Linked DNA regions of Astyanax mexicanus. The protein of the gene in region 1 binds, or shares a complex with, the protein of each later gene. Links are inferred from orthologs where the notes say so. Each region holds a gene or a part of one and is shown in the gene's direction. Other genes may lie near its edges.

Region 1 (16,351 bases):
TTCCTCCCATCAAGCATGACTCTCCATAATAAACATCCCAGAGGAAGACATGGCGGCACGAAGGGGGCACAGAGCTTGAACTTGGCCTGAAATTTTGAATCAAACTCAGAAATAACATGAAATGGTGATTATAACAGTAGCCTGATCAAATTCAATCAAAGCCTTGACTGTCGCCCAACCAAATCCATTGCATTCAAGACTACATTCTGACCACTCTTTCTTTACTGGTGTCAGATAAAATAGTAGATCCAACTCCAATCAACTTCCAATCAAATGCAATATATGACCAAACTTATCCAACCTTTACCCAATGAGACATTCAAACCTGAGCCAGGTCCAACAAACACTTGATGATAATAATGATGTGCAAACTTATAGAAATCTATTCTTTGGATATGAATATCCAGATTCCATCTGTATTTGCAAGCTTTATCAAATCACTCTTGCTGGAGAAGTTCTGTGGGCTGATGATAGCATGGATTGCATTCTAATACTTCATAAAAAATTGGACTGCCAACAAGTTGACCACGTAGCTCTTCTGAGTAAAATATTAGTAACCAGCTTCACCACCAAAAAAGAGGGATTTGGGGTAGGAAGGGGTGTAAAACACTGTCTAGTGGCTTACGCAGTGGTATGGGCAGGAATGTATGTCATCACTGACACCCCCCTCCCTTCATTGCCCCCCTGGGAAAGGGGTGGGTAGAGTGAACGGCCAGGGAAGGCCCTCCACTGCTTTACTGCACTACTGTATGCTAATAGATCAGGCTGTTCTTCACTCCCTCTGGAGGATCTCAACGGGAGGCAAGGCCCTTCAGACAGCTTCAGACTGTCTGACGATTCACATTCGCACTGCTGATAGAAGACAGCATCACTCTGCCATCAGCTGCAGTGATAAGAGTGAATGTGTTTTCCTGTGTGATGCTGTGAGGAAAGTAAAGAGGACCTGGGGCATTTAAGTACCAGTGGAGACTGGTACTTAAATTATCTAGAAGTCTCTTTACTTCAAATGCAGTCAATCAGCTTGGACAATCACGATGTCTGAGTATTTCTCTACACCACAAAACGTCATGTAAATGTAGTATTTGTTTTATTTGTTTCATGTGTCATAAACCACATAGGCAGGCCTTTTTGAGATTACATAACATCTTGAACTGAGTATAATCAGTTCAATAAAGCTTGAAGCTTGAAGAACATTAACTGAGGACCTGTAGGCTTCCCAACTACTTTTGGGATGAGGATAATCTTGTAAAACTTAATATTTTTTCTTCACAAACCCTTATTTTCTCTTTAAAACATTAAAATGAGATATCAAATCAATCTAAACGACAAAATAAAAGCTCCCCTGGCCAACTTAAACCACACTAAAAATAAGATAAAAAGCAGGACACCCATACAACAGATGGAACCCTCTCTGAGTATCCAGCCCTTGCATGAACTATTCCCATAGCATCCATGTGAACAAAGCCCATTCAATCAGACATTCTTCAAGTGGCCCACAACCTTACAGGCCCCCTCCCCAAATCCCCATCTAAAAGAGTCTCCTCTCTTTCACAGCACCCCCACTACATAAAGCAGGGCAACCGCCCTTTCTTTAACATCACAAAGAACATGTCTTGTTTGTGCCCCGCTTTTAATGCGCGCAGTCGTCGCCAGTCCCATCTCTTAAATTGGGAAGGAAGTCGGTTTAAAGCAGGAGATTCGCTCCATATGCAGTTTTACGCAATTCCATGTGTATTTGGACCACATGTGAGAGCAGGACTTGTTTTGGTGTGTTTGAAACCCCCTTGTAAAGCAACACTGTAAAACTGGATGTCTACATTGTCACCCTTTTTTTCCATATTGCAAAATAAACTGACTGGTTGAAAGGTTTGAGACTGGGAAAGTTTTGCAACCTTCTGCGAATATTTTATTAAACTTTACATTAACCCAAAAAAACACAGCCCAAACTGTTCAAATATATCATGCACTACTGCAGAAATTCTTCTGTCTACCACCTGCTGTCCAGCCTTTCTGCTTGAGTTGAAGTTTGATTCCTATGGCAGTTGCCTGTTGAAAGCTTAGCAGCACTTTTATGGGTGAGTCTCCTTAGTTCTCCCAAAGAACTTCACCCTGCTTCTCTACAACCACACGTTTTAGCAATTCTTCTCCACATTCCCTCAAACAAAAGGACAGAGGGGCACTCAACCTGCCTCTCGGCTCAGAGAGAAAGTTGATATGATGCTGTGGTATGCTCTGAAAGGAGATGAGCCATCTGGTGAAAGGGGGATTTGAGGAGAGGGGCTCTTGGAAGAATGCAAAACGTTGGGCTGATGCTCTGCTAATCCCTCAGGCACTGAGCACTCACTGGCTATAGGAAAGCTCACTGTGATGGTTTCCAGACACTCAAAACTCAAAAAGATTTTAACAAAGTCGAGCCATCAACAGCTAACAACTTCACGCACATTTCACCTGTACTATACATTCCTGAGCATCCCTGAGTCTACCAACACAAGTGACATTTTACATTCAGGCAAGGCTTAGAAGATTTTTGGACTTTACTCTAAAGCTTAAGGTCCAACCACTCTAATCCATTCACTTCTATGTAGCACATGCAAGTTGTGTAAGATGCAATATTCACAAAATTGATATCACAATATATAATAGGTAGAATATTTAATTGTGGATAATTTGTTATAGTCATTTAATTAAAACGACCTATATAAAAGACACAGAAAAACTGACAAAGACTCACATAATAGATTTATGTAGGCTTGCAATGAAACTTAGATAAAAAATAATTAATGGTTTATAAATCATTCTACTATCAATCCATCGTGACCTATACTGACTGAATTTTTGTCCAGTCCTAGGTCATACCAAAGATGTCAACACAACAAGAGAAGCAGCCACTAAATGTGATCCAATTCTGATTGAGGTTCACTCATTTAGATCCTTTAAAAACAGTTTGAGAACACTAACACGTTTCCTCCACTAATAACATATTAGCTGTAGTTTCTTTACTTTATTTTGTTTTATTAAAGTTTGGCATTGACCAGCAAAGCACCCTGTCTAATACAGCCCCTCACACTCTGGGAAGCTGCTCATGTAAAAGTTGTAAACAAAGACTGAACAGTGTGACAGTTCAACGGTCGCGGCGCATGTAAATGAGAGATGGTATTATGAAGGCTGGATATATGCGCACATGCCCTTTCACACCCACTTTAATAAGTCAATGGGACAATACTGTTTAAATAGTGGTGCCATCTGTGCCCATCCCTATTCCTGTGAGATAAGAGGGTTTAACGGTACTTTACTTCTGTTTAAAAAGATAAGGATGTAAAACAGGCTGAATTAAACAAGGGTAATAAATGGGAGAGCTTGGAGGATTTGCATTTTGGGGGAAATTAAGCTTGAGTGAGAGATTAAAATATCCTTATTGCTTTGTTTGCAGTCGGTTCACGGAGGACACTGTCAGAAAAAGGGTACTGTACTGATAAAAACTGATTAAAACTGTTTAAATGTGCTGTCAAAAGTACAGAAAGATATTTTAGGTCCATATACGTCCCTTAAAAATAGGGAAAAACAAGTGCAACTCAATAACTTAACCTAGCTATGTTTCTTAACCCTTTATGGCATGAGGCAACAAACCATCATTATTTATTTGTTATTACACCATTCTATACCATAGCATAAATTATTGTTTATGTATGTATTTACTTATTTATTTAATTATTTTATTTTAAATATAATTTTACAAGGCATATCTACGTCCAATACAATGAGACATAAATAAATAAAAAATGTTTATACGTTTTTACATTCTTCTTGTTGGAAGCTTACGAAAACATGTTTCTTTTTTTCTTTTTCATTTCAATAAATAAAAGGGTCTGAAAAAAGTTTTTTTCTCTCTCAAAATATTATTAATGTCATAGAGGGTTAGTTAACTGTCTAGTTAACATTACATGCACTGTATACATGAGTAACTAGCAAACAGTTTAGCAGTTTTGTACCATTTTTCTGAGAGTGTAAGGCTAACACCATGTCACAAAACAGTAGAATTAGAGTAAGACTTGTTGATGAATGGCTAAAGCTGTTTTTGTTCTCTTTTTTTTATATTTTAAATGTTTTGTTGATAGTAAATCTATCTAGGTTAGCTAGATTAACAGTGATGAAAAAAGGGGAAATGAGGCAGGTTTAAAGACTCACCTAGGAGCAGGCAGAAGATGTCTAGAGCTATTAAAATTTTCCTCTTGCTCTTGTTCATGCCAGTGCTGCTATTTAACGTCGCAGTTCCACCGTTTCTTGTTTCGGGTGCCATCGCCTTCTCATACATGTATTTTGGCATGTGAGAGCTCCGTCCTCCTGCTGTACAGAAACCTCAGTCCACACGAGCACAAACTCAGCTTGCTCACTCAGTCAGTCACTCAGATAAAAAGATAGATAAATGTAGAAGGTAAGATGGGAGGCGAGGTCCGGCTCGTTTGAGGAGAAAAAGTCCTTAAAAGTTGATATTCAGAGGAGGAGTGAAGTCCTGCTGAATGTTGAACCGTTGAACCGGTGTGTAGAGTGAATAATAACCCGCCTCACGGTCACCGTCTCTCGGTCTGTGGGATGAAGACAGCAGCCCCCCGGTCAGTGTGTGTTTTCAGTCAGTAAGTCAGTGAGTGGAGGAGAACTTGAGTCCACTTCTCTAGTGTTGGAGGGCTTTCTGAGGGGAGAAGAGCGAGAGCGGCGTTTTAAAAAGCGCAGGAGCTTCAACTCCAGTTTTAAGACTCCCTTCCCTCGTCTCCTCCTCCTCCTCCTCCTCCTCCTTCTCCCTCTCTCTCTCTCCGTGTGCAGCAGAGAGAGCTTCAGCAGGCTCAGCCCCCTTCCTCCAGACCCACCTGCATGCTTATTATTATGCTCAGCCCTTACGCTCCGAGCCTGCAGCACGCGCTCCTCCTGCCACCCGTATTCAGGCAGGCCCCGCCCTCTCGCTCTGAGACTGAGTGGAGTGGAAGCGTGTCCTTCTGACTGTCCGCGCTGCGATTGGCTGGTAGCTCCTGCAATGCTGCAATCAGGAGCAGAGTCTCGAATCGCCTAGCCAATCATTGCGCAGAAGGGCGGGGCTACACGGAATACAGGCGGTCATAAAGCACTGAGAAGGTTAGAGACAGAAAGAAAGAAAGACGCCAAACGAAGAGCTGAACTCTTCTATTCTGAACAATATATTCTTTATACCCGAGTTTAACGACGTCTAACAAAGCTCCACACACACTTTTCTTCATATTCTGATGATGAAATTTTAATACATGTTTTAATTCCTTGATCTTATAAACTGTTTTGCTATAAATTGTTGTGAACCCTTTCCATTGTGTGTATGTTTTATTACGGAGCCCCTAAAGTGACATCATGTAAAAAAAAAAAAAAAATAATAATAATGCGTGGCCATGCCTTATTAAGGCATGAAAACGAGATCCTAAGGCGTGGGAACCAGATAATTAAGGCGAGGGAACGAGTTAATTAAATCATAGCCAATAAGGCGTGGCCAAAAGGTCCTTTTGTTTCATAGTTAACAAAGCGAGCAGCTCTCAAGAGTTGACTGAGCCCGTCAGCTTTTAGTGTGAGAATTAAGAGTCCCTCGCTACCTTTAAGAAACTCCTGAAGACTGAGCTCTTCAAAGAGCACTTACTACTTCTAACCTCATTTTCTGCTCCCTCTTTTTCCCTCCTCTATCCCACTATTTCCCTTTGGCCTCCTTTGGGCCCTGTCTTAAATGGGTTTTTTTTTTGTTTGTTTTTTTTGCCTTGAACTTCTATGTCTTCTATTACTAAATGTACATCACTATTGTAAGTCGCTTTGGACAAAAGCGTCTGCCAAATGTAATGTAATGTAAAAAATCTCTTCATACTTTGTAAGTGGTAGTTATGCAGCATGTATTTTTATTAGAGGTGTAAGGAAATATCAATATCAAAATATAGCAATAGTTTGTTTTGCAAATCGGTATTTATAAACAATAAATGACCAAAAAACAACACATTTCTGAATGTTCGTACTGTTTTACTGTTGCAGTATTATTGTGAACCCTTTCTCTGCATTGTGTGTATGTTTTATAAATCACACAATCATATTTTAAAATATATTCAAACTTTGTTGTAAGTGATAGTTATGCAGCATGTATTTTTGTATTGTACAGCATGTATTTTTAATGTATTGTAAGAAAATATCAATATGAACGTATAGCAATATATTGTTTGCAAATTCATATTCAAAAACTCAGTATTGACATTTATTTATTAGTTCAAATGTAAAGATTGAAGTCAGACAGTGGTTCATTTTGCCTACTTTTTAAGCCTCAACCACTAGATAGCAGTGTTGTACTTCATTGCATTGTGTCATTCTTTTTCTTATCTATACTAACGCACTAGTATTTTTAATTGTGCTGCATAATAAGAATGATATAGTAGTTTTTAAAATATTTTAAAATACATTGTGAATAAAATAATTAAACCCAACATGCTGTTGCATTCACCGATATAGAAATGAGGGAGGAGAAGAGAAAGGCAAGAGCAGATAGTACTGTTGTGGTTTCTCTATACAGAACTAGTCAGTGGTATTTTGCCTGAAATGTTCGCCTCTGGTTTTCTCAGTAGTAATCCTACTCCTCCATCTAGTGGTCATAATGGTTCACAACTGGAATATTACTGACACTGCTTTTTATGAAATTATATCAAATTAACTCACTCATTTTTTGGTTACATTACTAAATATAATACACATCAGTACATTTTATCTTCTATACACGCTTATTCTGCATGGTACAACAGATATTATACAAACTCTTTTACACAATCACACAGTTTTCGTAGAAGTTAAAAGTCTTCCAGCTGTAGTTGGAAATCATTTCCACTCTTCTCCACAGATGTCCACTAATATACACAACACAAGGCTGTTTGTTGTTGATCATTTAAAATGTTTTGTATGTTCAGGAAGTCCACCAAAAAGGTTTGAAGTATATTTTGTATCTTGTAGAAGCGTCTTGTTTAGTTTCAGCCTTTTAATGGATAGTCTGATGTTTTTTGTTCCAAGTCCAGGTTCGGTTCACTGTGACCCGCTATAACATTAATACAACAAGCCTGATACTGATTATGTACTCTTTGCGCCGCCACAACATTTCTGATCATGAGAGGCATGGGCTCAACAAGACCTCAAAAGGTCTCCTAAAAAAATCTCAGCATGGAAAAATGAAGAAGCTGATAAAGCTAAGCTAGCACAGGCTTTCCTAAAATACATACATTTTTTTAAATGCAGCATCAAGGAAGGTGTGAAATGTTTAGATATATCACAAATGTTAACACAACCTTAACTAAAAATTCATCATTAGAGCAAATAAGCTATTCACAGGATGTTTAGGCTACTAACAGTGCTGTCTCTACCACAATATGAGTACAGTGATTATAAACCCAGTTTTATTCTGCTGTATACTATAACAACCCTCAGAAGAAGCAATTAGTGTTCACAAATACTGATAAAAATCATTGGTTGTAGGCAGTAGCTAAAATTAGCCACATTGTCACACACTCAGATGGCATTTGGCTCTACAAACACTTGTTTAAAGCAGACAAACATATAGCTCTGTCAGTATGGTTCCAGACCACAGGTAATCATTACATTACATTAGTAATAGATGTTCAAGGTTAAAAAACAGGGCCTAAAGGAGGCCCCAGAAAAATAGTGGGAATCACTATATCAATCACATGGTGTGTGAAGGAGAGCTGGTCATCAACCAGAACACTCAGGTTCTTAGCAACCTTTTTAGGGAGAGAGAGAGTGAGTCAATGGTTATGGTAAAGTTGTGTTGAATAGATGGTTTTGCTGGTATAACCAGATGTTCAGTCTTGGTCCTGATCAGTTTATCATGGAAGAGAGAGGGGGTTCTCCAGCTGTAACACTACATTAGAGGCAGACGAAGATATTTTCAGAATGTGAAAATTCAGAGTCTGACACTGAGTTTAATGTTCAAATAATGGGTATTTATGACAAAAAAAAATATTACTTATTACTGTTACTGGAAATCACTCCTGTTACTGATACTTATTTATGTAACAGGGATTAGTTTTTAGCATACAATTAGCAAAAACATGAAAAATAGCTAAATGGTGGCTATGCTAATATCATGAAGACACTGAGCACATTATAATGATTTTCCTCAAAGTTCTGCCCTGGGGACAGAAATGGCATCCATTCGGTCGAATGGCCCTTATATTTCTTGGCCAATTGGGATGAATTAAACTTCTACTCAGTATTTTACAAAAAAATGGTTTGATTATTTGAATTAAAAGCCCTTAAATGCAATGGGTTCACCAGCAGGGAGGAGGGAGGACTCCCTGTGTAACAAAAAAACGAAGACCCTGTATAGTTTAAAGTAAAAAATGTAAGGTGAACGTGGAGAATTATACATATTTTGGCTTCACCTGCATAAGAGAGCACGCTCATGTTGTAAATAACAGTTTTACAGTTTTTATCTGAAGGGACTATAGTGAGAAGGTGTCTGTGTAGCGTGCTTGTTATGTTGTTGACACCATGGCTCCTCCCCTATTTTCCACGCTCTCTCTCTCTCTCTCTCTCTCTCTCTCTCTCTCTCGGGTCTGACCTATGATCTGTGGGCTTTGGTCGGGGGTCTTAAATTTGAGGCACATTTCTCCGGTCATGCTGATCTGAGGTCGGGTGAACCTGAAGCCGCTCGCGCGCCGGGCGGAGCCCCGCCCCCCTCCTCTCGCCGGCCGAAGCGAGCAGCGAGCTGCTGCCCCGCAGAGTAAAATGGCCGAGAAGCAGAAGCACGAAGGCCGGGTGAAGATAGGACACTACATCCTGGGGGACACGCTCGGAGTGGGCACCTTCGGCAAAGTGAAGAGTTAAGTGTCTGGGCTGTGCTCTGGCTGCTCTGTGAGGCGGCGGGGCTTCGGGTTGTGGAATAGCGGCTGTGTGTGTTTTTACCGTAACCGTTAATAACGTTGAACTTGCCGGCGGAGAGTTTACGTAGTTTACGCAGCGAGTTTTCACGCAGTTCGCTACGGATTGAACGGCTCTGGAGCAGAGAAGTGGCGTAGCGCTGTTGGGGAATAAGCCTTTTTACGAGTGTTAATGCTGCGTTACTCTGGGGCTAAGTTTAGGGGGTTGCAAAAAATGCACTGCACTAAATAACAAAGCCTGCGGGCGCTGTTACTGTACATGCATGGGCTCGTTTATCACAGGATTATCTGCCTAATAAATGCATACCTTGTAATTTGCAGCAGTTGTGAAAATTAGGCAAATTGTGTGTTTATGTCGTAGCATGTTTTATAGCTTTATGTCTGCAATACCAGTGTAGACAAAATAGTAGTAATAGCTAGTTGCAGTAATATTAGTATTAAAATATTACTATTATTAATAATAAACGCTTCTTTCTTGATCTGTCAGTAATATTTTGTCTACGTTGTTTTTTATTTTTATTTTTTCCCCATAAACCTAACTTACATTACAAACAATACTGTTATACTGTCCTAATCTTATAAATAAAGGCATGTTGACAAAACAATAGGTCCAATATGTCCACTGTAGATTTGGTGCTATCTGTGTGTGCTGGACAATGGTGTGTTGATTTCATGCTAAAGGGTTAGTTAATTAGCACGTGAGCTAACAGCTCTTAATGCTGATGCTATTCTCATAGGGTGTGAGCAGCCCCTCAGTGCTGGTAATAAGACAGTAATAAAGGAGATGAGATCAGAGTAAGATAAGAGCAGGAGGACTGGCATGGTGACCAAGCAGCCCTTTATTACCCCCAGCTGGACATCCCATTAAATGACCTTGAGAAGCAGTGAAGGAATTTGGGGTCAGTTTGAGCCACAGTGTGAGTGGCTCCATGAGCTAAATCAGCTCCACACATCCACTCCCCTGCTCTTTAACAATGCATCACAACAACGACACCACACAGTACTGTGCCCCACAGGATCCTGTACTGTATCCATTGTTTGTTAATTAAATGTACTCTTAACTGCCCTTATACCTGAAGCTGTTGTTAAACTCTGTAATTTCATTGTGCTAGTATCTCACCTTGTTTCATTAAAAAGCTCCTTCTGTAGAAACAGACCCGCAAAATAAGACGATAGCAACTCTGCTCTGAGGCAGAAATATGGTGTAATGAAAAAGTGACATGCATTCAAGTGCAGGAAAACCAAAGATTTAAACTGTAAAGTTATCCCCTCAAAGTAGGTCTGTACAAGATATCATTTTAGCATAATCACAATGTTCACATGCACAACAGTCCCATCGCAGGATGCATAATGTCACATTAGGCAAATTTAATTAAGTGCTAACACCCCCTAACTTTCCCAATATACATCTTACAGAGGCAGATTATGTCTGCCTAAAGAAATTATTTTATTCCAATCTTTGTCACAAAGTATATTATTAACATTGTGATACATTGGATCATTGACTTCTTGTGACTTCTGATGAAAATTCCTGTATTTTTTAAGATCACAATATATATCATAGAACAAAAAAATATTGACAGTTTCAGCCAAACTTGTGTATCCCTACCTCGAAGGGTAAAAATATGACATCAAAAGCCTTTAAGCTTTTTTTTTGTGCAACCCATTTAAAAGGGGTTAAATTGTTGCCTTGCAGGAAAACATAATTAAATTACATTAAACATTAATTTAAATAACTACAAAAAGTTAAACTAGATGTTTTCTTATCAATATGTTATTGGTTCTTTTTTGCATCACAGCCAATATTTATTACAACAAAGCTTTAAAATGATCTGTTTTTAATTTAATCAATTCATGTAAGATAAGTATCTCAAAGTAATGATATTACTAATATTATTACTATTATTACTAACTAATATTACTAATATTACACTTTTTGATACTCTTTGAAGCTCTTTTTGTTTGTTATATCTGATACAGCATTTTCTGCTGATATTGGCCTGATACAAATACACAATTCTAATGCTGTGTACCTATTAAACACTTTAAGCTTGTATTCCTGCATCTTGTTGCTGTTGTTTTGTTAATATTTTCTATATATACTGATGATTTTTAGGCATACCGTAAAACCAGAAATTGGACTGCCTGTCAGACAGTGTCAGAGTAACAGAGGCAGTGAGGTAGACTCAGTCAATTCTGCATGCCTGGGGTGTCACTGGAGTTAAATGTCCAACCAGGGACACATTTGTTCACAAGTTGAGGGGCGTGTGTTGCGAAGGACGGCTTACAGGAAAGCACACCACTTTGCCTGAACATACTTTCACTGCATAAAGGCAGGGGTAGTAAATCCTTTTAGCATTTATGTGGTGAACTATAACTATTACAGTTTTTTCCCTGAGCATAGTATTTTTCTTTTACAAAGCTTCTGTCATTATATGAGATATAAATACTGTGTGAGGTCATTATTACTGTTTTGCTGTTAGTTTATACTACATACCAATACCTGTAATTACATAATTACTTACATACACAATTTTATGTTGTGTTTCACACCTGCACATCTGACTTTTTCCATCTTGTTTTGATATTAAATGACAAAATTACTGCACATTTAACAGTAGTTTATCAAATTATATTGTACTGATCTTTTCTCTGCTTAGAAGCACAATATAATTGGGTACTGAATGTGTGGAACTTTTAACTAAATGTCCCACTGAATTCAAAGAGTGTTAAGAGTGTGACAAATAGCATATTTATATTCATTATTTCACAAATAAATATCAATATGCTTTTTGTTATCACTAGTGAATATTGCAGCCTCTAATGGTTAACAGTATAGAGAATCTGTTACTGTAACTGGTGTTATAAAACAAACTGCTGCTGGGGTGTCATGGCACTTGGTTTGTTTTTTTTTGGCTTCACACTGATCTTTCATCAGCTGTGTTATAGGAAACGGTTGGTGGTCTTGTTGCAGCTGAGGTTTCATTGGTTTGGGTATGTTTGTTTTCATTTTGCTTAACAGTTGGAGAGCACCAGCTTACAGGACACAAAGTTGCTGTTAAGATTCTGAACAGGCAGAAGATCCGCAGTCTCGATGTGGTCGGCAAAATCAAACGAGAGATCCAGAACCTCAAGCTGTTCCGACATCCACACATCATCAAGCTGTGAGTGGAAAAAAGTCTGCATGCTCTCAAGCACTTAATATATAGTGAAAGCCTGTAGAGTGCAGAAAGTCCCTCTATGGGCATCTCTAGCCATTTTCCATAATAGAACATTATTAAATAGACACATATTTCATTTGCAACCACAGCCATATTCACTTATTCCACTGTATTATTGCTCACTGAGAAACTTCAGCTCCCTTGTTGGAAGCTCTTTAGGTAAGCGAGCTAGTCAATAGTTTGGAACTTTGAACACAGTAAAGTAAAAGTAAACATTTCATAAAATATATTTACTTAAACAGAAATGAGAAAAAACATACTAACTGGACCTTTCTATGGCAAAATACATTAACTCTGCATTTGTGTTTGCCCCAAGTTTAAATCCTTAAGATAAATTAGTTTATACATAAAGAAGGATTCTCTAATAATTTAAAATATTTTGACATGTTGACAATAAAATAATTATATTTTATAGATACACAATATATAAAATATTGTACACCACATCAGTCAATTTAAAATGAACAAAACTTTCAAGATATGATTTTGTTATCATATCTTGTAAACATTCACCTTTAAATCAAGAGCTTTGCCAGAAAGATGGTTTTAACTATTTATTAATCACTGCTATTTTTAACAGTACCTCAGACTTAAAAGTAACTGGAAATTGTATTTGTTAGATGCTCAAGTGGACGTAACAAGTGGTCAAAATCTTTTGTGAGATTCAGATACATTAGAGGCCAAATCAACTATTTTGTACATTCTTAAAAAGCTTAGCAACTCCACAAGACCACAGAACACTGCTAAACAAGACAATAACAGAATTCTTTCTTTGGTGAGGAGAAAACCCTTCACAACATCAAGTCAGGTGGTGTTCTCGTGGATATGTAGGCATATCTTTGTCAAAGTCAAGCATTTTTCTTCATGAATCATGAATGAACCACTGGTAACAAACAGGAAAAGCCAGATCAGCTGTAGATGAACCCAAGATTAGGAAATGGAGTAGAAAAGAGAGGGTTCATAATCCAAAGCATATGACATGGGTTGTTATGGTTCGATTTTATAATCCTTTTAATTATTATTATTATTATGTTAATAAAACACTGTGTACCTGGATTATTTTAGCTAAATGTAATGTACACATACTGTAGAGTTCAGAAGGTTCTATGATTACAGTATGTCATGGCTACTTTTTTAGAATAGGTAGAAGGCTGCTGTTGCATGCTTTCATTTTAAATAATACAAAGCTAAATATTGTTTAACTAATATAAAAAATATTATGACCTTATTTATATAGTTTGAAAATGTCTCTGCTGGTGGGGCAGAAAGTGAAAATAACACAGCGCAGGCCAGTCCAGGCTACAGGCCAAAGAGATAAAATAGCTACGTAATCTCTTTAGACTACCTTTCATGTCTGCTGCCTGCTCTTTCTCTCTCTCGCTCTCTCTCTGTAGTCAGAGCAAATGAGAGGACTGGGCTTTAGGATGCCCTTTATCCCTCTGCTTTAACCCAGCAGCTTCCACACTTCCTCCCCTATTTGTCTCAGCAGCTCTTCAGTCACTCTCTCGTTTTTCTCCGCTCTCTCAAACATGCTGAGCTGGGAAGATCAGAGCGAGGCTTTGCTACACATCCCCCTCCCTCTGTGAAGAGCTGCCTCCTACCATCAGAACAGCACAAAGCTGGTGATGGATAAGATGTGGCATAACCGGAGTTTGCTGAGGAGAGGGGTTTTTACCCCACTGGGAAAATAGGGGTGCACCCGCCAAGCTTCGCAGTGATTGGGCATGTTCTCAGCTGTAGCAGGAACCCTCCTGACGCATGCCCCGTCTCAGAGGGAAATGACATCAAACGCGCCACAGCTGGAGGAAAGATCATGCCACACAGTCAGCCCTGCGCCTAAATAAACGTGGGGGCGCTACATGGACTAAAGGACAGGCCATGTTGTAAAAAAAAGGCTCCTGTCAGATCATTGACAGTGATGTTCATTATATACAAGATTTGACCTTTTACTCTACATGACCTCTCAGTGCGTTTATGGCAAGCAGCCACAAATGCCATTTACTCTAGCTGTGCCAAAAGATGACAGCTGCTCTCGAGGCAATCTGAAATTAACCATTAGATGTCTAGAGTTAGTACTGTTATTTTACTGTATGCTACATTTTTCTATTATAATGGGGTTCAAATTTAATTGCATAATAGCTATTTTAACGCTGCTTCCATTGTACTGTTATTGTACAGAGACACTACTGTATTACTCTATTAATAAAATAATAGGTTATGCACTCTCTCTTTCAAAGGTGTCAAAAGTATTCACATTCATTACTCAAATAGAAGTAAAGATACTAGGGTTTAAAATACTTCTGTAGAAGTTAAAGTATCAACTCATGCTTAAAAGTGTAAAAGTACTGGTTTCAAAACTACTTAAAGTATAAAAGTAAAAGTAATTTAAGTAAAAAAAAACATTAAGGACAAAAGCTTAGACTGCCCCACAGGGTCCTATAGTACACTGTTTTTTAAATGTAAGAAGTAGAAAGAGTAGATATTTGTGAAAATGTAAGGAGTAGAAATAAAAAGTCGTCTGAAAAATAATTATTCTTGTAAACTCATGATCTCTTGTAAAGATCATCAACTTTCTACTTAAGTAAAGTAATTAAGTATTTTTGCTTCCTTACTTGACACTTTTGCTCTCTTTCTCATGCCATGTGAACCGTTTCTTGTGAAAAAAGTGCTCAGATGTTTTTATTTAGCCCTGCTTCAGATCACTGAATTAGAGTTCTCCTGAGCTGAGGTGGGCCATGATGTCACTGGTTGATGTAGACTTCTGATCCTTTCCTGATCAACTCATATTTTTAAGGATTTTCTTTTACTAGCTACTGAACTATTTCTCACTTTTTTCATTTGTGAATGAAGAAAATACAGCAATATTTTTACAGCAATATACAATACATACTTAAATTTACAATTCAAGACTGGTAGCTATATTACATCTATGCTGTAAATTTATAGCCACCCTTAGAAATATAATAAACATTTATTGCTTTGAGACACATCACACAATACTACAATATTCAGTCAGAGAGAGTTTAATACTATGATTCACTCACTTTTCATCCAGAATTCTCTACCAACAATTACTGTAATCACTGTCATAAATTTCTCCTATTTTGCTGGAGGATTAATTGTATCTCATATGCATCACTATTCTAAAGCAGTGTTTCTGCTGTAAATGTACAGGTACCAGGTGATCAGCACTCCCACAGACTTCTTCATGGTGATGGAATACGTGTCTGGAGGAGAGCTCTTTGATTATATCTGTAAGCATGGAAGGGTAAGAATGACTTTTCTGTTTTATTCACTAAAGTTTAAAGGCTGAGAGTACATGTTGTCCTAATGCCCACTTGTTCTGTATGTGTTCTGTATCTAGTTTAAAACATACAGCACACATAATTGCTAGTGTAAGAAGTACGAAGACATCTTAAGTACTGAGAATGAATAGTAATTTTGTATGCACCACTTCATATGATAATTCAGAATGGTTTATGGTAATGGCTAGGTACTTGCTTTGTACACCTAATGCTGGAGTCCAGATTATCTTTTGACCTCAGTTACCCATGGTAGCTCCAGGGTCATGCCTGTTTAGTGAACTATGGATGAGTAAGTGAGCTACTTACAGACCTGGGTCAGTGGGTTCAGGGTTAGTCCTCAGACTGTGTGTATTTTTCTACTCACACAGATGTCCGGTATGTAGGTGGATGTTTTGTAGTATGGGTAATATGGGCTGTATAGAGGGCAATGAGGGCAATGTGTACACGGTGAAGCAAATTGTACAGAGACTGGATGATGATAATTATTCAGTGTGCCTATTGCCTTCACTTCAGTTGTGATGCATGTTGCAGTGTCGCCGAGCGACTTATAAATATAGACAAATATTAATGAATAGCTAGTAAATATAATGATAAAAATTGAAATGATAATGTTCCCTATGCTGATGTTTTACCCTTTTTTTTGGTGCAGGTGGAGGACAGTGAGGCAAGACGATTGTTCCAGCAGATCATCTCAGCAGTGGACTACTGTCACAGACACATGGTGGTGCACAGAGACCTGAAGCCAGAGAACGTGCTACTGGATGGAAGCATGAATGCAAAGATTGCTGACTTTGGTACAAACACACACATTTTCATACAGATAACATCTGTTCCACATCTGTTCCACAAAAAAGTGATCTTTGAGCTGAAAGTGAAGCGCAGTTGGGTCATGCAA
Region 2 (16,502 bases), on another chromosome or scaffold:
TGTGGTGGTGGCTTCTTTATTCACACATTTATCTGAGAAATGTTCTCATGCAAGCTCCCTCCCCAGCCCTCAAGATTGTGAAATCTGACCAAAGCCTCATGCTCATAATTTAGACCCACTCATAAGTGGTATAAATAGACAAGCCTCAAGTATCTGCAGCCCGCAAGAAGTGTGTAAGAGTGCACACTCACTCACCTATACACACCATATTCACATTTTCTCACAGGTCTGCAGCTAAACACCAAGAAGGTCAGTGGAGATAGCGGTTTTGCTAAACAAACCTCACCATGCTGAACATATGTGTGATTTTACACATGCTCAGTGAGTCCTGAATTCAGATTTTATCTAAAAAAAAATTAGGTACCACCTGCTAGTCGAGTTCTTCATCTGAATCTTAATCAGTCTGGATTAAAAAGATAAAGCTAACTGTGGATAACTAGTTTTGGTTTGCTGCAACAGAAACACATTAGCAACAGGGCTAACATTAAAAAGTCACAATAAACTTGCCTGAGTGTCAGTTCTCCAGTGCCAGGTGTATGATGTTTTACTGCTCATCTGAAGCTTGAGAAAGTTTTCTTGCAGTGGTTTGACTTTTCACACTTTAACCTCAACCCAAGTTTTGCGCTTTGCCTGTAAACACCTTTCTAAACCTCACGCACATTATCTGTTATCACCTGCTATGAGCCTTTGGTTAGGCAGACTAAACTGAAACAACTCTGTACTAAAGTGTGAATTTATTTCAGTGTCACTTTATTTAAGTTGAGAGATTAAGCTTCATTTAGGAAGCAGTATAATGTCATTGCAGTTACATAATAATACGTGTTAAGAATAAAATCTAAGCAATGAGTCAGCAAAAAAGTGTCCTTGATTAAAAATGTGTTAGCATACATGTTAGCATAGTCTCCTATTGTGGCTATCAGTAAAAAAAAAAGTCTGCTAAAATCTACCCTAAGTAAGCAGTTCTGTGCTATAGTAAAATGCAGTCAATTAACCAAGACGACTGTTTGCATTAGCTATGAGGCTAATGTAGCTCAAAGTAGACATTTTCAGCATCTGAGAATTAGCATCGTGCTAACTGCATGTTAAAATCATTACGCACTGTGGATGTGTTTATTAATCTCTAATATACTTGCTTGTGATGTTTCTGAACCTGTATGAAACATCACTATCCATAAACATGTATAAATATATATTAGCATGATACTAATAAACTAGAAAACAATGTAAACATTTAAACCAATGTAAACAATGTAAGCTGAGGTCAGCTGACTACCTGAATATACTGAACATAGACCAGTTATTCCATCAATGTTTTTTTCTTCCCTGATGGCTTAAAACATATTCCAAGCCAACAATGTCAGGATTCATGCTGCTGGAATTGTGAAAAAGTGATTCAGGGAGCATGAGATCATCATTTTCACACATGGATTGTTCACCACAGAGTCCGGACTCTAACCTCATTGAGAATCTTTGGGATGTGCTGGATGGAGAAGGCTATGTGCAGCAGTCAGACTTTACCATCATTAATGCTGCAATATTTTGGTGAAAAATTAATGCAACACTGGATTAAAATAAATCTTGTCATATTACAGAAGTTTATTGAAACAATGCCACAGCGAATGTGCACCATAATCAAAGCTAAAGGTGTGTGTGTGTTTTTTGGGCCAGGCAGTGTATTAAATGTATACATTAATACACAGACTCATAATTCAAAATAATGTCTTTGCCATTCAATCAGTGAAATTATAATAAATATTTACGGAATATTTCCAGTGCCAAAACCACCGTTACTGCAGGGTGTGCTCCAGGTCTGCGTGTGGTCTGAGTATGTTTGGGTGTGTGCTGGTGTGTGTGAGTTAGTGCACAGGTTTGCAACGGTTTCAGGTTGACTGTGCTTTACTAAGAGTGCGCGGCAGCTGCTCTGCTCAAATCACACCAGCCCACTGAGAGTCCCTCTCACACTGTCTGCCCACACACACACAAGCACGCACACACAGAAACATCCGAATCATCCTGGAGACAAGAACCCGAGGGTGGGGTAAAAATTCAGATATGACACTCGTGGGCATTTACGCTGAAGCAGCTAAAAAAAAAAGTCCCACCCGCCTCTTACTCATCGATTATAAATAAATTAATGACAGTTAATACATTTATGTAATAATTAACTTTACTAATATACTTTATTACTAATATACTACTAATATAAATTAACATTGTATTTTAACAGTATGTCAGGTATGACAATTTTAAACATGTACAAATGTTGTTACATTTTATGTTTTTATGTTCAATTTGATACATTAGCATAAACTTGATATATAATCAAGTTTAGATTATATTTAAATTGAAAAAAAAATGTTGTAACATTTCTCTTGGTCCATTATTAAATTTTTACACAATTTAAAGCACATTAAAAAAATGTTTTATAGAAAAATGCAACATAAAATGCAATGCTTTGATTTGGCTGTGCTTGTTTTCTGAACATGAATTAAGCCTAAGCTTAGTGTAAAAGGCATTTCCCACAATGTTTGGGCCTAAAGCCTAAAGTAAAAGAAATTCCCATACAGGTTCACCACAGGTCAGTCCCAAACCAGGCTAAGTTCCTCTTTGATTTGAACTAATACTCAAAACAACTGCTTTCCTCAACATGGATTAAGCCTAAGCTTAGCGTAAAAGACATTTCCCGCAATGATTCATCTTTGGCACTGCCTTTTAGTCCAAGATTAGACAGGCCTAATCTGGCTCTAGGAAACTGGCCCCGATTCCATTAGCCTGAATCAGAGAGGTTTGGGTGTTGGCCTGGTGTGTTTACTGCCCCACATCACCAGACCCAGCCTGCTGCGTCCTGCAGAGCTAAAAGCAGGCCGGCATCATCACTATGTCTGTCCAGTTTTATGAGGCGCGGCAACTCATGTGATCCTCGCTAAGAGGGGCCTGGAGCTGCTAGCGGGACGAGGAGGCTCCAGGGGACTTCTGTATCTTGTAAAGTCCCTTCACCAGTCACCACCTACGCCTGGGAACATCTGCTCATGCACGACATCATACTATAAAACACATATGACAAATTACATTGATCTAGTATATGATTTATTTCTACATAATTTCTAAACCACATTCATATGATTTCCCCTATCACTTGTAGTGGGCACTAAATTTACATATAGGAATAAATACCACAAACCAGAATATATAAATTTTTTGGAAACACATGTTTTCCGATGATTCAGGATTTCAGAATTGGCTGTCTACTCTACTCTCTGATCCTAATCAAGTCTAACTGTCCCAAGGGCAGCGTTTAATCGTATATTCTTGTCTTGTGTCCTCCTGTCCTGTTAGTCTCAGAGCAGTTACGATAACGAGGATTACGACGGTTCTCAACGACTGGGGAGGAAGGCCCTGCACATGGGCATTGCATCTTTAATCATTGGCCTACTCATCATCACGGTCTTCAGCATCGTACACTTCACCACGGTATGCACACCACACACACTCCTGTAAAATTTAAATGTTATATATGCATAGGGGTTTTCTATGTATTGCTGTGGTTAGGCATTATTCTACCTACACCCAGCTCTAACTAGACCTGTGTCAGTAACCAAAAGGAAATGATTAATCTCTTCTAGCTTTTCAGATGTAAAAGGAAACATCAGGTTTCCTCTTATAATGGAGACATTAACCACACTAGCATATGGTGTTTTTGTGGGTTGCTTTGTTAAACTAGTCTGTAAAAGTCAGCCTTTATTGTGCTATAAACTAACACTAACTTAAGCCTGAGGCAACCAACAAATTAGCTTTGTTCTTTTACAGTTTTGCACAGTTTTAGCGGTGTAAAAAAACACACCGCTACATTAACACAGCTAACAGCAAGAGTGCTAATGCTGTGTGATTATAAAAAAACAGAGGGTCCTACATAGGGTTGCCATCTATGTCTGACAAAAAACCTGGAGACTGTCATACTATAACAACTGATGAACCATTTTTTTAATATATATATATATATATATATATATATATATATATATATATATGTGTCACATTAACTCACCTCAATATGCCCTTTGCAATCATTACGTGGGCAATGTTAAAAATACTATTACAAACTGCACGTTTGTGTTCACTTTTGAGCCACTCATTCTAGATTCTGGGAGATTTTATCTGACTTACGGGAAACAGGGAGCCATTATTCATATGCGAACTTCCATGAGACTTGGGATGTCTGCCATAAGAAACAGAGGGGACTTGGTGAAGCAGGGTTGTACATAGTATTGAATATTTTGATAGGGTTTACTTTAGCCATGCAGCATAATTTTTATTTTGCATTCAGTCATTGTTAAAATGAGTTGAACATTTCTTTTTCTTTTTGACTGGCTTGACAGACCAAGTAGACAGAATCTTACCTCCATTTCACCATGACAGCTACAGATTCACTACCTATCTAGTTCTGCCTGTAGTAGCTGGCAGGTGCTGGTGTGGTAGTCAAGTCACATGACCCTGCAGTACCAATGAAAACAGCTTTGATTGTCACCGTGAAAAATATGCAAGAGGATACAGAGAAAATTGATTTAGTCTGTTTAATAGACACAGTACATTAAATAAACTTACCTACAGACAACAGAGACATTTATAGATGAATCATTATTTAAAAAGGAAAATCCAAGTGAAATCTGGACAGGTGACAACATAAGTAAATAAAAACACCCTGAATAGGGGTTCACAGGATCACAGTGAAACATAGCTAACAGCGCAAAGTGTCATCTGATATGGACTTACGGGAAGAAAAAAAACAAGTGCTAATTATCTTCGTTGGGGAAATTTATAGAAAAAAGACCTTAACAGACAGGCAAAAATGTAGGGTCGCCACCTTTCAGAAATGAAAAAAAAAGGGACGCCCATCAAAAAAATAGATCACTACAAATGGACATTTATGGAAATAAAGAGCAAATCCCGGCTGATCGACTTTTACAGTAGCAGCAACATAATTTTTTTGTGTGTTTATTTATACTTTTGTTTAAATGCTATGAACTGTTGCAACACTGAATGTTTAGACTAAGCTAATCTTTAGACACATATGATTGCTAACACATCTGTAATCTTACTGTTTTTGTGTCAGAATCCAAACTGATGGCTAACGAGAAGCTTTAAAAGGATTATTTATCTCCATGTCCATGTGCTTTGGTGGACTGACAGCAGGAAGATGGACAGCGCTGCCCTCCATCATGCTAATGCTAAGGACACACCGCGGGCTAGCACACTACAGCAGTCATGGCTAAATTGGCATTCTTTCTTTTTTAATTTTACGAAGTCTTATGCTCTTATGAATGTAAATTATGCGACAGAGGAGCAACTGGAGAAGCGAAATAATCTGTTTTATGTGTCTTAATTATCTAACTTAGCCTGTGTTTACTAGTCTAGTGCACTACATATTTCAATTACAGTTAATGTACAGTTGACACTACCTGTGAAATGTTTTGGTGCACCTTGCTTAGATTTATAATGCTGATATGTTGCTTTAACCTTCAAAAAGGTGAAAAAAAAAATGTTTAGTGGTCATAAAGCAGATGTTTGCTAATTCTATGGGTTAATTGATCTTGGTATGATAAGCATGTCCTGCCAAAGTAATGATTTGACAGATTTCTTTTTGAAATATTTAAAATATTTTGTCTCTCTTAGTTAAGTTATTGAAAATCCAACTAAAAAAACAGGATTGTTTATTTTAAAGGGCCCATAGCATGGAAAGCTGAAATGCCAAGTTTGATGTAGTGTATAAAAATTGTTTATGTTTCAAATGTTTAATTGTTAAAGTGTTATGTATTCACTCCACACTTCATACAATCCATTTACAGAAACTAAACTGCTAAAACAGCCAGTATATAATACACAGTTTTGTATGATTCAGCATTGTCAGAAAAACAATGCTGACTGAAGTACAATAGGGGGCAGCTAATTAGAAAATATATCAGAGCTTATTTACATATAACTATCCTAAGAGATGAAGAAATGTTGGAAAATGGTCATACAAAATGTATTGCAAGGAAAATGTAGAATTTAGACTGTAAAAGCTAGGTGTCCAAAACTTTTTTCTTAGGCATTAAGCAAACTTTTTACTCCCTTAAGCTCTAAAGGCGTGTATGTAAGCACTTACTTCCCTTACCTTTTAAAATACACAAATTACAGATTGGAATAATAAATAGTGGATATGAACGAATTTACAGTAGACACGGAACAATTCATAGTAGCTAATGAATAATAAAACTAGATCCTTGAAAATTAATAGTAGATACAAAATATTTCATAGATATATAGGATACCAAATAATACATAGAGGATACTGAACAACTGATGTTAGATAAAGAATAATGCATGGTATATACTGAATAATTCATTGTATTTTCTGAATAATAAACCCTAAGGTAAAATAAATCTAGGTCTAATAACAAAAAAATAAACAAGGTTTAACAGCAAACAATGTTGTAAATAAAATATGTGAAAAGTTTACTTAATACACAAAATAACTTAGAATTTAAGTTCACATGGTTTGAAGAAACGTTACAGAGTCTTAAAGCACTTGTGTTCATGTAACACCTGCAATTACTTATCACATTTTCTTAATGTATATTCAAAATGTGCAGCTTCTACACAAGTTAACGTATGTTAAAAATGAGCTCCAACAACCATTTTTGGATTTTATTTGTGAAATCTCCTGTTTAACCATGAGGGATACAGTAATTCAACTCTTTTTTTGATAAAAACACTGATAGCAGATCATATGTATGTACAGAAATGATGCCTATGTGTGTGTCTGTGATTTTTTTTAACATGTAACAGATGTGAATAAAATTGTATTAAAAGTAAACTATGTAGGTTAATGTTTATAACCGTGATTCTGCTCGGTACAGTCATAAAAAACACGGACAGTGTTGAAGCTCTTTTTCCACTGACTAATACACCTATAGTCTCTCTCTCCCTCCCTGTCTTCTCCTCCTCCTCCTCACCCTGTGTAATCTGCAGACTGCGTTGGATCTTGTATTCTGATATGTAATATTATAACCAGTGAGGACTAAATATAGCTGTGGTATTCTCCAGACCTGGCAGAGAGAGCAGTGCTAAGGATTTCAGCAACTCAACACAAAACCTACATTCATGTGCTTCACATCCTCCAGACGCTACCAACAGATTACATAGTGGTTCATCTGAGCTGTGTGCACTCACCTCACTGTTCAGCTGTGTGTTTAGCACATTATTAGGGTTAAACTCATCACAACACACACTAAACACTGTCTCTTTCTTGTCAAATAGGCATGAATTAGGCCCTGTATTGCTGTTGAGTGGTCAAGGTCTGTTTCCCACAGTGTAGCGTTTCCTGCAGAGAGGCAGTGAAAGCAGATAGCCGTGAGAATGCCTTCAGAAACAGAGCCTGCACACACAAACACACCTCACACACACCTAACACACCTCACACACCTGACTGGCAAAGACCAGTAAGCATAACTATAAGGTCAACTACAGTCAGATAATAATACAGCTAAGATAAAAACAACAAAAACTCCTGATGAAATTTGACCTCAAGACTTCCATCTACTGGTAGCTGGGTTCAAATGGTCTAAGCTGATATTTAATGGTTAAACTGGTCATATTTGTTGACTAGATTGCTAAAGCTGGTCAGAGTGGTCAACAGGCCTGGTCATATTGGTTGACTAGTTCTGTAAAGTTGGTCATACTGGTGAACATAGGACAACATGGCCACACTGGATGGTTGTTGGTTGACTAGTTTGACAAAGCTGGTTGACCAGTTTGGTGAAGCTAGCTAATCTGGTCAATAAGTTTGTCAACAAGTTATTGTTTACAACAGTAGTTTAGTACATACTGGTGGAATAACATGGCCAGGCTGGTCATGCTGGCCAACCAGCTGGTTCAGATTAGTCAACACACTCTGTCATATTGGTTGACCAGCAGGTGGGTAATGCAGATTAATTAGTTTGGTCATACTAGTTCAGTAGTTTGCTAAAGCTGGTCACACTGGTGGTCAACATAACCTGGATGTTCATACTGGTCAACTAGCTTGGTTATGATTAGTTCACTAGGTTGGCACGGCTGATTAACCATTTAAGAAAACTTGGTTATGTTGTTTAGCATGTTTGGTAAAGTTGGTGATATAAGAGGACCAATATTGTCGAGGCTGGTCACACTGGTCAACCAGAATGGCTGTGATAATGGTAATTTTGGTCAATAAGCTTAGTCATGCATGGTTGACCAGTTTGGTAAAGCCTGTCTTATGGATAAATCAACATGCCCTAATGGTCATAGTGGTCAAAAAGCATAGTCACACTAGCCACACTGATGGACAGTGGCCAGACTGCCCTACTAAAAAATCCAGATCAAGACCAGCTGGTCATCCAGAAAGAAATACCCTTTGATTATTGGCTAGCTCGTTAACTAGCTTAGGATAGCCTATGTTTTTACTTGATGACCAGCTGGTCTTGAGCTGTTTTTTTTTTTTAGCAGGGTGGCATGCTGATTAACAGGTTGGGCCATACTGGCTAACATGTTTGGTAAGGTTGGTCAACCAGCATGGTCAGGATGATGATCATTTTGGTCAACAAGCTTAGTCATGTTTTTCTTATTTATGATTTAACATGACCTGATAGTCAACAGTGATCGAAAAAGAACAGGTTAGGTGCTACTGATTCGCTGCCTGAGGGGGGCCTACAAAATAATCACAATACTACACTGGTGGTTTTAATGTTATGGCTGATCTATGCATGGGTTTTGTTTGAATTTGAAGAACTACTTAAACAACCCAGTTAAAGCACCGTAGGAAGGGAGCACTGTAAACACGTGGTTCAGCAGGACAAGGGACACGCGCGCGCGCGCACACAAACACCGGAAGAGGAGCGTGCTCGTGTGGGAGGAGAAACATGGCGAAGTGAAAGAAACAGGCAGGAGCGGAAAGAGAGAGAGACTGGGTAAGAGTTAAACCTCCCACAACACACACACACTCACACACACACTCTCACACACAACGTGTGTGTATCTGTAGAAGTGTTTTAGAGTCAGTTCCACTCAGACACACTGAAATTTAGCTTCTTAATAGCCTCTGTTCTCCTCCGTAACTTCCGTTTTTTTCGAGCAGGAGGGGTTAAATCTCCCTCTCTCTCTCTCTCTCTCTCTCTCTCTCTGACTTACTCTCTCTTTCTTTCTGTCCTCTCTCTTTTTTTGTTCTTCCTTTTTTCTGTTCTCTCTCTTACTGTTACTGTTATTTCCTCTCTTTCTGTTCTTTTTCTCCTTTTCTGTTTTCTCTCTGTTTCTCTCTCTCTGTTTCTCTCTCTCTGTTTCTCTCTCTCTCTCTCTCTCTCTCTCTCTCTCTCTCTCTCTCTCTCTCTCTGTGCTGAAGGTTAGAGAAGGTCCTGGCTCTGTTCTGTGTGGGTTTGAGGTGAATCACAGCACGGAGTAACTTACAGTCTGGTCAAAGTTCAGATCAGTGAGTCAGCTCACTCTCAGTCACTGCACTGAGTTTCTACAGGTTTTTTCTAAACCCTGTGGGCTATAATATAGGTCAAAGTGACCTTATTGACTTTATTTTTTATATCTTTACGGTACATAAATTTCCTTGCTCAGGATTTCATATGTTCCTCGTTTAACTTGTTTTTGTATTTTCCCAATCCCATTTTTCCTGACTTTATAAATAAATAACATTTTTGTGGTCATGCTGGTCTACCAGCTTAGTCACCACCAATAGGCAATACACGAGAGGAGTTTCTGATAAAGTGGTCTGAGACTGTTGTGTCCTACCTGTATTACATTCACCACAAGTCAGTGTCAATATACTGAGAAGGGGCCCTGCTGGTTATGCTGGTCAGCCTTAACCACTGAAATAACATGCATACATAACTCTCTTAAAAGATCACAATATACAGTACCATGTATAATATTTGGACACACATTTTCTAATTCAATGTTTTTTGTTTTTTTTTTTGTTTTGTTTTTTGCATTGTAGATTAATATTAAAGACATAAAAACAGGTCAGGGACGCATATGGAATTATGTAATAAACAAAAAAAGGCCTCCTACATTTGGCATCCACTATCCCCTGACCTAAACCCAACTAAGATGGGTGATATGGGATGAGCAGGAGCTCCAGGAACTCCCTCAAGCATCTAAAGAATAAAAACATATTCTGTTTTGTTTCACATCACGAAAAGCAAGAAAACACATTGAATGAGAAGTAGTGTGTCCAAACATTTGACTACTCTGTACTGTATTTTCTAAGTTTAAATGCGTCACATCCCCCACATCACCTTATTAATTACTGATAAAAACATATTATATGGTCAAGACACTTAACATGCCATATGTAATGGGAATAAAACAAGCATAATAATAATTTTATAATAATTGTATTTTATACTATGACACAATATATCGCCTTGCTTGCAGTTTTGCAGTATATTGCATGATGCGTTGAAATATAACCCTGTACTGTGATGCGTATCGCATTGCCAAGTTCTTGCCAGTACACAACGCTAATTGAGGTAAGATTAGAGCATTTAATAACTTGTTTACACTTAGAAACTGTCCAAAATTTAGTGTACAACTGCATGTACTTACCGTGTAGTATCCAGTGGTACTTCTGTTGCATATTTGCTGTGGGTGGAGGTATTACTTTGTAAGAAGAGACAATGCAGGTCTCAGATAGATAGATAAACAGTAGGAGATGTCTGATAAAGCTGTGCAAAGGACAGTGGCCATTTTTACAGGTTCACCAATTGCATGCAGGTCTTGTGGTCATGGGTAACGCCAGCAGTGAGAGGAGTGCTAATGCCCAGCGGCGGGAGAGCCGTGGAGCTAAAGATGGAGCTCGACCCAAAATACTGATGGACAGCACTGAAGATGGAGATATCTTTCAAGCAGATGATGCCAAGGTCAGTTTTTGCTATATAGGTGTATAACATGTTGATTACAATGGTAGCAGTAACACTGAAATGTCAGACACAGTCATATTGCTATACCTTACACAAACTCCGGTTCACTGATATGTTAACAATGGTCCACCACCTAAACATACCTGGACAAGAGCTGATCCCTAATGAAGGGCTAGAAGGAATGTATCACTAGACCTTTCACAATTACTCAATTCATTAGGATAATATATTGTTTCAGAAGCAATTGCCATAAAAAATATTTTTTGTCATATTATAGTCACTGATTATGTTCCAAAATAATGCAGTTACACATTACATTTAAAAAGCAATGAACTTTAATTTACTAAGAATATTCAGATATTTCATTTCAGAAATGTAACATGTTTAAATACCTTTATTATATTATATTATAAATAAAAATATTGTTTTTAGACAAATTTACATACTGGCTCACTAAAGTGAATATGCTCTCCTAGCTTAATTAACACAATAGACAATATTGATAATAAAGGTCATGCCCATCTGTTGTATGATATGTAAATTTGTAGCTCAACACCAGCAGGGTGGAGCAACAAGAGAGGAGTTTCTGATAAATTGGCCTGAGACTGGCCACCATGGCCAATGATGGTTCTATGAGGGTCTTTTTCTGTTTTTTAAGGGGGTAGAGTGGGCTGATAAATGCTGCAACAGTAGGTAGGCTGTAGTCTGTACCCGCAAAGCAGACCACTGTGATCGGTTGGGTTCATGAAGTGGACACTAAGTGGAACAATGCTAGCAGATATTCACTTTTTCATTCTTTTCAGGAGTTTCTGGCCTGGCAGCGTGATCTGGAGTCAGACTCTAAAGCCCCACCTGAAGAGAGACCCACTGTGTTTAGGTGGACAGGCCCAGCTAAGGACGTCTATGTGTCGGGATCCTTCAACAACTGGGCCAATAAAATCCCCCTGTCCAAGAGGTCAGCCTGATAACTAGTCACTTTATCAACAATCATGTATTTTCCTAAATGTCTTGACAAGTATTCCAGTAATTCTAGTATTCCAGTCTTTAAAGAAGGACAGACAATGGAAAAAGTGGACAGTAACAATTTTAAATTTAGCTAAATTCTAAATACAGATCAAATAGAGAACTTTGATAAGCTTTATTATTATGCAAAATAGGGATAAATAATTTCTGACTTATCAAAGTATCTACTATAAATAATTCAATGTATTCCGTTACATATATATTTTTAGTCTCTACTATGAATTATTCAGCATATACCAAGCATTGTACAGCATCTGGTATTATTTTTTTAACATCTGGAAATCATTATAACCACAATAAATTATCAATCAATATCCACTGTGTATCACTTGAAATCTGATAAACGTTTTACAGTATATTTTCAGATTTATTTAGAGTCTACTGTGAATTAGTCTGTGTCCCAAATGAAGATTACAGCAATGAATACAGAGGTATTTAGTATGAAGTATTCATTGTCCAATATGATTTATTCAGAATCTACTTTGAAATATTCATTGTTCAGTATTAATCATTCAGAATCTACTATGAATTTTTCAGTATGTGCTAAGAATGATGTAGTATCCACAATGCATTATTCACTAGCCCATATTAAACTAGCAGTATCAAACAAGTTATTCAGTTAATTTATTTACTATAAATATCTACAACTATATAAACTGCTATGTAAATCTCTGCAGTTATGAGAGAGGAATTGGAATATGGAAGAAAATATCTTTCCTTAGAGTTCAAAGAGTTAATAAGTTTCTTTGCTTTTAATCATTGATTCTGATCACACAGAGATTGTGCATTTTACATATGAACCACTAGAGGTCACTGTGGGGTTACAGTTAGAAGAAGCATTTTGTTTACAGTCAACTAGGAAAACTACATATTACCTGGTAAATTTAGTGAATTGTAATTATGATATTTTTGAGATGGTGGTGCTGTGATGGTGTAACATAACAGTAACGCTTTAATTCCTTTCTGTTTCACAATTAGTCACAGTAACTTTGTGGCGGTAGTTGATCTGCCTGAGGGTGAGCACCAGTACAAGTTCTATGTGGATGGAAACTGGACACTGGATCCAAAGCAGGTACCACCATGTGTCCATAACATGTGTCCATGAGTACTAATAGCATCACTTTACTTATCTCTTGGGTTGTAATATGTTTTTAACGAAAATAATAATAATAACAATAATAAGGATGCATCTAAATGTTAGGCTTTAAAATATTTTCTGTATTTAAAAATAAAGTTTTCTTCCAACTGTTAATATAATTTATGAAAACACTGTAAAAAGATGTAATGTTTTAAAATAAATATAACCGCAAAGCTTTTGCAATTTCATATGTTGCATTAAAACAACAGTTAACTGGGATTTAATTTTTTGTTATGTTCGTGCTCTGATTAAAAAAAAAAAAAGTTTTCAATGTTTTTGGCTGTAAATATTTATTTCACTTCATCACTAATTGGTTTCATTTTTCTCAGCCTGTAGTGACCAGCAAATCTGGTACAGTAAATAACATCATCCAGGTGAAGAAGACAGACTTTGAGGTTTTCGATGCCCTGAAGACAGATTCAGAGAAATGTGCTGACATGTCAGGTAAGAGCTCAAACTCTTTGTGTTAATGCAGTCCGAGATTAGAGAGATTCTCCTGAGGTGATGTCTTACCTGTTCTCGATTTCAGACATGTCCGGTTCTCCTCCTGGACCGTACCATCAGGAGCCCTACAGCACTAAATCTGAAGATCGACTGCGTTCTCCTCCTATTCTCCCGCCTCACCTGCTGCAGGTGCTGCTCAATAAAGACACCGGTGTCTCTGTGAGTAACACTTTGGGTTCCTTAATACTTTGCTGCAGAAACAGATGGGATGCGTAATGATTGATTATGCATGGTATAACTATTGATGTAGATGGTATATGTAAAGTGATGAGTATGGATGGACTAGGTGCTGATATCGATGAGGCGGTTGTGGATTGAGGCGTTATAGGCTTTGCTATAGATGGAATGGGTATGGGGTTAGGTATAGATGGTATTGTTATTGTAAAGATAAGGAAGGGTATAGTTGGTTATATATGAAATGGGTGTGGATGTTATAGGGTTTGCTATAGATGCTATGGGTATGGGGTTAGGTATAGATGGTATAGGTATTGTAAAGATAAGGAAGAGTACAGTTGGTGATGGATGGTATGGGTGTAGAGAGATGGAAGGTGATTGGTTTAGGTGATATGAGTATGGGGATGTGAGGGTATGCCTGTTGGGCTTTTGGAGTAAAAAAAAGTATAGTCTGTTACTTTAACAGATCTTTCCTAAAATGATATGATGTTAGCTGTGTGTTATATAATATATATATATATAGTAGAATTTTAAACCTCTGTGTTTTGTGTTTGTTGTTATGAACAGTGTGATCCAGCTCTGCTTCCCGAACCCAACCATGTAATGCTGAACCACCTGTACGCTCTCTCTATCAAGGTACAGCTCATCATAATCCATACATACATATATTGTTGTTTTATTCTTTAAACTACGGATAACATTTCTCCCAAATAAAAATATTGTCCATAATTATCAATAATCATTTTTATCTGTTTTGCGTATATATTTGATTAGGACTTCTGAAACAATGAATGGATCATCAAAAACATTTTAGAACAATTAAAAAGAACCTTCAAACCATAACAGGCTTTACATTAACTGCAGGAACTGCACTGTAACACAGCTGATTCCATCTTTATCTTAATTTATTATTCATATTATCATTCATCATTTTACTAGGAAGCACAGAATATTCAAAATTATTCAGCAAGCAAAACTATTCATCCAAAAATGGCTCAAAAAATATTTTGGTGTTCAACCAAATAATTGAAAAGATAATATATATATATAACAATATTGCATTTTTAGGTATGGCTGGTGGAAAGTTAATGATTATTGTTTAAAATATATTTTTTATTCTAGTTTTGTATTTGCTTTTTATTTAAAATGAATGAAAACCTGCAAACCATGTTCCGTGTTCAGTTTTTGGCCAAATGTTTAGTTTTGTTCAGTCTCTGTTTCAGCCAACAATTTTCATTTTAAGTTATAACTAAAGTTTGGTTTTGCTGTCGTTTACATTTTTACATTTTATATACATTTCATTCATTAAATCAATATGCTCATAGACCTGCTGTTGTTCTGGTGTATTTATTAAATCTAATTTATCAACCAACAAACTTTAGAAAACAAAAAACACTATGTGTATTATAAAGTATTATAGCAAGTTTGTTTGCCTCCCTCAGATGTTTCAAATAATGACTTCTAAACTCTTAAAACTTTACAGTTTGAACTTGCTTTTTTGCATTATTTGAGTTCTGAAAGTTCTGCATCTTTTTTGTTATTTCAGCCATTTCTCATTTTCTGCAAATAAATGCTCTAAATAACATTTTTATTTGGAATTTGGGTAAAATGTTGTCTGGAGTTTATAGAATAAAACAACAATGTTTACTTTACTCAAACATAAACCTATAAATAGCAAAATCAGAGAAACTGATTCAGAAACTGAAGTGGTCTCTTAATTTTTCAAGAGCTGTATTTTAATGTATAGAATTAAACTGTTTCTCATTTTCCTCACAGGATGGTGTTATGGTCCTCAGCGCCACTCACCGCTACAAGAAGAAGTACGTGACTACACTGCTGTATAAACCCATATGAGCAATCAGCTGGGAAAAGCTCACCTGGATCTCAGCTCGCTTTATCAACACTATTTAAACAGAAAAGAGTATTATTAAGATAATGAGCCTTAAAAAGCATCAGAAACTCAAGTGCTGATATATCATCACTGTAATGTCCAAACCTTACCCACTCCATATCTGAAACCACCAGCTGCCTTTCACATTTCATGAAGAACAGACCAATAGAAAAAAGGACCAAAATTACTTGTCCCTACTTTAAAAAGCATTTTTTGTTTTTCTAACAAAATATACCATTTTAAGATACTGTCACAACAGTGATTGTATCTGTGTGGGTGCTCACAACAGCATCTATATATGCAGGGGTCCAATAAACTATGACTGTATTTAGATTTTTTGATTTTAATAATGAAGTAAGCCTGTAAAGAGAACCGTCTGACCTGGTAATGCTTTTTAAACTCAACTATTTTTAGACTGTGAGATTTTTCCAGTCATGACCAGTGTGTGCTGTTGATATTGTTATCTGTGTTACCTTTTTCATGCATTTTATCACTTCTTATCAGAGAATACACATGGAATGATTTATAAATAAAAAATATATATAAAATTAGAAACCTGAGGGTTGATTTCTTTTCTTTTTTTCAAAATGGGCGCTTGCTGTTTTCTGTAACACCTGTTGGAATGGAGTTATACATAACAGTGTGCTGACCGTTTTTAAAACTATGAATGTACTTATTACATTACAAATAACACACAAACAATCTGCTATCTGTTTTTGTCAGCATGGTTATTATTGTAAGCAATATTTTTTTTCTTGTAAATTACACAGAAAACGTATCAATTACAGATTTCACTCCACATCTGGGGTCAGCGTCTCATTTACACTGGCTTTGGCTGAGGTTCTTGTAGGCA

What was found.
Region 2: the proteins of prkaa2 (region 1) and prkab1b are in contact, whole or in part, in a crystal structure (PDB 8BIK), measured with the Homo sapiens proteins. The link is inferred for Astyanax mexicanus from reciprocal best matches to the Homo sapiens genes PRKAA2 and PRKAB1. Residues at the interface, in NP_006243.2 of Homo sapiens: Gly9, Val11, Lys12, Ile13, Thr21, Lys29, Lys31, Asn48, Arg49, Arg53, Asp56, Val58, Ile61, Lys62, Ile65, Gln66, Lys69, Val82, Ile83, Ser84, Thr85, Pro86, Thr87, Asp88, Phe89, Phe90, Met134, Met164, Ser165, Asp166; in NP_006244.2 of Homo sapiens: Pro79, Thr80, Val81, Arg83, Thr106, Ser108, Asn111, Val113, Ile115, Gln154, Val155, Asp159, Phe160, Glu161, Val162, Phe163, Ala165, Leu166, Asp169, Ser170, Lys172, Cys173, Pro186, Tyr187, His188, Gln189, Glu190, Pro191, Tyr192, Ala202.

The regions. Positions count from the first base shown.
Region 1 is NC_064408.1:61,606,396-61,622,746, forward strand, and holds the start of prkaa2 (5'-AMP-activated protein kinase catalytic subunit alpha-2), read left to right. Parts: upstream 1-8,615; 5' UTR 8,616-8,778; coding exon 8,779-8,872; intron 8,873-11,952; coding exon 11,953-12,094; intron 12,095-15,325; coding exon 15,326-15,419; intron 15,420-16,105; coding exon 16,106-16,250; intron 16,251-16,351. Other genes in the region: plpp3 (phospholipid phosphatase 3), read right to left, coding at 4,186-4,324. UniProt on the Homo sapiens protein: Catalytic subunit of AMP-activated protein kinase (AMPK), an energy sensor protein kinase that plays a key role in regulating cellular energy metabolism.
Region 2 is NC_064419.1:33,187,335-33,203,836, forward strand, and holds prkab1b (5'-AMP-activated protein kinase subunit beta-1b), read left to right. Parts: upstream 1-8,834; 5' UTR 8,835-8,963; intron 8,964-10,773; 5' UTR 10,774-10,784; coding exon 10,785-10,919; intron 10,920-11,722; coding exon 11,723-11,874; intron 11,875-12,920; coding exon 12,921-13,014; intron 13,015-13,409; coding exon 13,410-13,524; intron 13,525-13,609; coding exon 13,610-13,743; intron 13,744-14,325; coding exon 14,326-14,394; intron 14,395-15,534; coding exon 15,535-15,612; 3' UTR 15,613-16,204; downstream 16,205-16,502. Other genes in the region: transmembrane protein 233, read left to right, coding at 3,337-3,471, 5,111-5,122; pla2g1b (phospholipase A2), read right to left, coding at 16,466-16,502. UniProt on the Homo sapiens protein: Non-catalytic subunit of AMP-activated protein kinase (AMPK), an energy sensor protein kinase that plays a key role in regulating cellular energy metabolism.